Linked DNA regions of Arabidopsis thaliana. The protein of the gene in region 2 interacts with the protein of the main gene of each other region in a pairwise test. Each region holds a gene or a part of one and is shown on either strand. Other genes may lie near its edges.

The links. The genes of interacting proteins can lie anywhere in the genome.
Region 1: the proteins of AT1G56150 (region 2) and NET2C interact in a two-hybrid assay, tested with the Arabidopsis thaliana proteins (one large-scale study listed by BioGRID).

What each region holds. Positions count from the first base shown.
Region 1 is NC_003076.8:3,303,128-3,306,886, forward strand, and holds the start of NET2C (Kinase interacting (KIP1-like) family protein), read left to right. Parts: upstream 1-2,159; 5' UTR 2,160-2,290; coding exon 2,291-2,384; intron 2,385-2,459; coding exon 2,460-3,759. Other genes in the region: MSL2 (MSCS-like 2), read right to left, coding at 1-84, 419-579, 659-715, 801-878. UniProt on the Arabidopsis thaliana protein: Plant-specific actin binding protein. May be part of a membrane-cytoskeletal adapter complex.
Region 2 is NC_003070.9:21,015,259-21,018,682, reverse strand, and holds AT1G56150 (SAUR-like auxin-responsive protein family), read right to left. Parts: upstream 1,373-3,424; 5' UTR 1,252-1,372; coding exon 919-1,251; 3' UTR 561-918; downstream 1-560. UniProt on the Arabidopsis thaliana protein: Plays a role in the regulation of cell expansion, root meristem patterning and auxin transport.

The sequences.
Region 1 (3,759 bases), on a different chromosome or scaffold from region 2:
AGACCCCACAGGGAGAAAACAAGAAGAGCAACAGCTGGAACCAATTTATATACAAAAGGGAATTGTTGCATCAACCCGTGTGACCTGCAAAAAACGGAATGCAAATAATTACAGAGTGCAATAAAAAAAGAAGAGAAATTACGAGAAACATAAATGCACCCCCTCAGATTTCCCCACCAAAAAAATTACAACTTCCCTAAGGGGAGCCATGGTAATGACAAGGCCTGCATACATCAATGTTTGGCTCAAGTCCACAATGTTTATGAGTAGAGTTAATTCATTCATTTTGAGTTAGATGCCCAAATATTACTATGCAATCATTCAGATCCATGAAGATCAACTAAATAAAAATAATGATAGTTTCCAATTTTACAAGGTGGTCATTCTGCATGTGATGATAGGAAACAAGGAGTCTTACTTTGTTAGCACCACGGTGACAGCTTTAACAGCAGGTTCAATTGCCTTGCCGCTTGCAGAAAAGGAATGACACCTAAAAGCGGTGGTTCTGCATGGAACTGAACAAATAGGCCTACGAAGGTAATTTGAGAGTAATATGTTGCTGAAACCATGTTGTCCCAACTATAAGCAGAAAAGTAATGTTACTAACTATCAGCAACCGAATTTGAAAGGCTAGAGTAAATTTTGTTTGAAATATTACCGGAACACCTAATGAGAGAGGACCATTTGATATATGCAGCCTCCTTCTCATGGCACTCTGAAAAATTGTACATTTTTCGAAAGATGAAGGGAAGAAATGATTAAAAGAAAAGGATGTCAGGGCTAAAATGGAAGAAACATACATTTTCTGGATTACAAAACCGTTGGTTTCTGCACAAACCCAGACTATGAGACAACTGCAATGTACCATAAAGGGCCATATTTTAATCAGATTCAATGACTTAGCCAGTAACGTTAGTGGCACCGATCATAAGCCTCACAGCCTAACGGAAAGAGACTAATGAATGCCAACACAAACTCTGCACCGTAGAAATGAAGCAGACCAGTTAAAACCTGTGTGTATGATTCAGATACAGCAAACAGTAGACCATTGAAAGTCTAGCTTCGGTGGGTGGAACAAAAAGTAGTAAAATTTGCATTTCTTAAACTTCCAAATCTCTCATTCACAAAACTGTGAGAATAGTTGAAGCAATTATAACCTATGGCAGTGTGATCCTTAAGATTCTTAGCAATCAACAAAATCTGCTACTGAACTGAGAACGAACTAGAGCTTACGAAAACACAAGACCATTCAATTTCGTCGGCGTGCCATATTCATTACCAGAGAGTAACCTAAAATCTACAACTTGGATTAAAATTCTCGATCACAATCCCAACTTAACTCAACTTAAAACAGCTAATTTTAACCTAATCTCATCTCGAGGAAACATCCAACATCAAAACTTACAAAGTTAAAATTCCTCATGAAAACCAGACGAAACCCGAATTCAAAAATCGGAGTTTACAATCGAAACTCGGTAAAGAACCATAAACATATTAAGGGTATAAAATACTTACCCAGTGAATCAAAAATCGAGGGAACAAACAAAATTCTAGGGTTTGAAGTCTTCTTCAGGGAGATTCTTCGAAGACAGGACGAACAAGGGGATTCGCATTTAGCAGACACAAGAAACGATGCCGTTTCGTATTGAGAAACGTTCCGTGTAAAGTGGAAAGTGGTGAACAAATTGCCACGTATTTCGACACGTCAGACTTGTTGCGGCTAATAGATTCGTATAAAAAATTGATGCTTGGGCATATTTATTTACAAAATCATCCTCATAGGAACGAATATAGAAAGAAAAACAAAGAACAAGTCCATGGTGATTTCAGGAATCAGGACCAACTATCAAATATAATGTACATATCTTAGAAATATCTTCTTAATGGAATGTCTATTTGTTTTTGCACTGTCCATGGTGATTTCAGGACCAACTATGATCTCACAATCTAATCTTAAAATAGAAGCCAAAAAAAAAAGAGGACGAGACTAGTTTGTTTCCGTTACCGTTTAATTAGTACGAGTATCAATGTATCATCAATCAACCAGCATTATGCTTTGGACTATTATTCAGATCCAATGTTGCATGTGTTTTAAATAGCAACTTATCATTAATACTATGTATCACCGAATCTTTCTCTACGCCATTCTCTATCAACAAGATTAACAACAATAATAACGAGAGAAAAAAAACACATCTCCTTTGGTTGTCATGAACGAAACCTCCAGAAAAAGATGAGATTTTGTTCAATTGATTGAAATTTTTTTCAAGAAAAAGATTAGAGAATAAAGATGCTACGAAGAGCTGCGAGCAATGCGTACTCCTGGTGGTGGGCAAGCCACGTTCGAACCAAACAATCCAAATGGCTTGAAGAAAACCTTCAAGGTTACATATTTTTACATTCCATATTATCATCATTTTTCACTTCTTCCACATATTTTTGATAAAATGTTTATGTAGATATCGAGGAGAAGGTGGAATATGCACTTAAGCTTTTGGAAGATGAAGGTGATTCATTTGCTAAGCGTGCAGAAATGTATTACAAGAGAAGGCCTGAATTGATAAGTTTTGTAGAAGAATCTTTCAAGGCTTATCGTGCTTTAGCAGAGCGGTATGATCATATCTCTAAAGAGCTTCAAAACGCCAACACCACAATTGCATCTGTTTTTCCTGACCAAGTCCCTGAGTTTGCCATGAACGAAGATGACGACGATGATGCTCCTGTCTCACCTAGACACCATAAAAATAAGACATCAAATAAGAATGTTCCAAAAGTTCCTGATTTGCCCATAAAAGACCCTGAGGCTGCCAAGAAGATGTTCATGTCAAGGAAAGCTATTCAAGAACAGAATGCCTCGTCCGTTGTTAACAAGTCCGGGCTGAGTAAAACCGAGGCGGTGGAAGAGATTGACAAGTTGCAGAAAGAGATTCTTGTTTTGCAAACTGAGAAAGAGTTTGTGAAGACTTCTTATGAGAATGGACTTGCAAAGTATTGGGAGATTGAGAAATGTATCATGGAGAAACAAGGGAAAGTTTCTAGTTTGCAAGACGAGTTTGACGAAGGTGCTGTTGTTATAGAAGATAAAGAAGCTCAGATATTGATGTCTACCACAGCTCTCAAATCATGCCAAGAGAAACTAGAAGAGCTGAGAGATAAACAGGAACAAAATGTGAAAGAAGTAGATGTTTCAAGAAAACAAATCAGTGAATCAACAGAGGAATTTGGTAATCTTTCTGATGCATTGCTTGGTGATGGGAAAGGAAACCATGAGATATACAGCGAGAAAGAGAAGTTGGAGTCATTAGGAGAAAAGGTAAATGATGAGTTTGATGACTCTGAGGCTAAGTCATGTCTTACTATTCCAGACGTGGCTGATAAAATCGATGAGCTTGTGAATGATGTGATCAATTTGGAGAATTTGTTCTCATCTCAAGCAGCTTTAATACACAGACTAAGAGAAGAAATCGATGATCTCAAAGCACAGATTAGAGCTCTACAAAAAGAAAACAATTCATCTCAAACTGATGACAATATGGACATGGGAAAGAAGTTGAAAGAGATGGAGGAAAAGGTGAATGGTGTTAAAGATATAGACCAAGAAGTTGAAGAAAAGAGTGACAACATTGATAAACATCTTACGAGAGCACATATGAAACTAAGTTTCTTATCCAAGAGATTAAAAAGCTTGACGCAAGAAGGGGAAGATGAAGAATTAAAGGCTACTAATGTGCCAATTCAAGATATAGGATCTTTGACTGA
Region 2 (3,424 bases):
TCAATTATTTTCATTCTGATTCTAACATAATTGTATATTGTAGATTTCAATCGCCGTGTGGACCATGGTGACTTTGACAATGCGAAACAGAGAAGCACTAATGTATGGTTTGGGAATGCAATAATCATAATGTTTTTATTACTTTCTTGTAGTTCGATTTTGGGAATTTAATAGCAGAACATAATTTATTTAATTAAAAACATAGAAAACGTAATAAATGAGGGGTTTGTAAGATTTTTCTTGTTATTCTTATGGTCATAAAATTCACCATCCGATTGATGAACCATGTTCGAATCTTTTTTTTTTTTGTAAGCAAAAGTTCGAATTTGTATAGTATGGTTTTAATCATGATTGATTGTTGTATATATCTAGATTCATAATAAAAAAAACTCTAATTATTCACAATCACATAAAATTAGCTGTATGATCGGTTTCTGATCCTTTGTTAGAAAATGAAAAAAATAAATACAAAAGCTAATAAATATGGGTGACTACGAATGTGGTTGTGGAGGTGAAGTAACATGGGATCATACATACTCCCTGCCACTTACTTATCTGGAAAAAAAAAAAAAAAGAGTGGCACATTTTGTTTTTCTGTGAGCTTATCTATTGATTTTGTGAGGTTATCTATTCCCCCAAGTTTGGGAAGAAGCTAATGATACTGTTGCCATACTTATGGGAAACATCTTGCGGCGGTTTCTCCAAACCAAATTCTTCATGCATGTGTTGATGAAAACCAGAAAAATAAAAGCCTTAAATCTCGATTATTTCACTTATATATATAATCCCATCTTCAAATAGATCTGATAAACCAATTAGATAAAGAATATGTAATTTACATAACTCTGTTTCCCCTATAGCTAGCAAGATACTATAAGACACTAGAAACTTCTTAAATCTCAAAAGAGATCGTGTAGGTCATGTGACTCGATCGGCGAGTCCGAGACGGAGAGACTCCAAGATGCGTTCGAACACAAGCACGTGGCAAGGGATGCGAAGCACTCCTTGTTGCTCGTATCCATACTCTTGAGCCGACTGCTTCAGCAACGCTACGAAAACGGGGTGGTTGAGCAGCTCCGCATTCACCACGAACCGCTCCATCTCGTGGCCTACGTAAACAGGCACGTGCCCCTCGGGAACCCAAGATTTGTGTTTCTCCTTCTTGGTGCGGCCACGCTGGGATTCAGACCGGAGGAGGCTATACTGTGTTGAGTCCGCGACACGCGATAAACGGCGGATTAGTTGTTTCATCGTCCAAAGAACCTCTAAAGAGCCGAGTAGTGTGATTTACAAGAGGCAAGACTCAAGAGAGTGAGAAGGTCTTATAAATAGAGAGACGAGGGTAAAACTGGAAAAGTGTTGTACTTGCTAGGTACACTTATTAACATATATTTTTAATTTTGTGAATTAAAGTAGACAAGTCCGATTCAAAAGAAAAAAAGTCCAGTCATAAATATATTTATTTCTTGGTTTCGTGGAAAAGAGGTCGTAGCGCTCTGCATTTGCCGTGGACAATAGGAAAAGTTGTGAAAGAGATGTTGCGTGGAAATGTATGGTATAATTCATAAATTTAAATAGATAAATCCAGTCTGAAATGTGGTTATATATTTCAACGGAACATAAAAGAATTAGGAAAAGAGAGGCGTAAATTGCGGGGGACGTACTTGGAGTATACGAAGCAGGGACAGTACAAAAATATGTACAATTCCGTGACTCCGAATGTCTCGTGCAGTGTCAATTTGTCACTATTCTTTTCTCTCTTTTTACAGATTTTTAGAAACCATGCATGATTAATGTTCTTTTAAAAAGTTGTTGCATGGTTGTTTTTATTATTGCAAACGTAGTAGAAGGAAGAACAGTGTCAAGTCTATTAGTGCATGCGGTTATATATAATCCAAATGATAAATACGGATATAGTACTGCTTTCTAAAGATGAGTTAGTGAAATTAATGAATTTTGGGGGAAATAAACGCCGTACTATGGTCCATTCGTACAGAATGACCCACCAACTGACTTTATATTTCTTCCATTTACGTGTCATACCAATAATACCAACACGACTTTTCTTCTAAAATTAAATGCATGTATCTGTTCTTTGAAATGATGATTTTCTTATTAGGTACTGCATAGAGAACACCACTATTTGCTTCATAGTTCATACAACGTTTTAAAGTGAAGTTTAGTTTGGTAAAAGTTGCATTTACATACTCAATAATTTAACAGACGTTGTGCTACTTGCGAGTAATCACTACTGGTCAATTAATATATAACTCTTCCGGAGTTACTCAAATAGTGTGTATAGATATATAGCAAATTAGCAATGGTTTAAATGCGAAAGCGTGGGCTGCCCCAACTGTCCAGCCGTACGCTCCATGCTACGGACACTTTGCTTTCAACTTCGACATTTATGTTTCTTATTTAATACCATGAGAATTTTGGATATGAGTTTGTCCTCACACATCAAATAAAAATCATTTAGACAATCATACAACCAAATCTTATCTAACTGAATCAATTTGAATACTTGATCCTAAAACATTGTTAGCTCGAAGTCTCTAGTTAAGTTCCATCATTGTTCCATAAACACAATCTTGAAATCAAACATTTCACCACGGTGATCTCTAAAAGTAGACCACTAGTTTGTGCCTCGCTCAAGGCCAGTGAAATATCTGTTAGTTATGTAGTCAAAATTTCAGTCGGACTTTGATAATAATAGCCAAGAGAGATTGTCAAGCCAGAATTTTATAATGAATAACTAAATAATATGAGAAGATTTAGTTGTTCGTTACAGACAGCTCTCTGCACTAACAGTTCTATTTAACTGACTTGAACAACGAAGAAGACAGATTCTTAATGAGTTCTTGGGCCTTAATTATTAGTAATCGATTAAAAAAAAAATAGAATTTCTACTGTGAAAATTTCAATTTATGAGTTTAGTATCATCGATTTCATATTGGAACATTCATATGTTTGTCGAGTGAAATTTTTAAAAGAAAATAAGACTCCGAAATATTGAGATCACTGATACAAGAAATTAAATGTCCTCATCAAGTTAAGAGAAACCAAGAGAAAAACCTAGAGATTCAACAAAGTTTTCCAACCTGACACTGATAGGTCATGAATTGGGCTTGTGGGCTTTATATTGTTTAAAGCCTGTTATTCTTAGTATTGCTTTCTATTTAAGTTTGTTGTCTTGCTTGGTAAACGTTTATCGATTAAGAACTCAAGAATGTTTATCTTCTTCATCATCTCCTTTCTTCTTCCTTTCCTTCTCTGATTTCTTCAGCATCTCAACCTATTTCTTCTATTATCTCATCTCCTTTCTGTTACTAAAATTGATAAGCACCATTAATTTATATGAACGTTTACATAATAATTATAACATATATTTATACTTAACCTTATGGATGTGCACAATTATCAA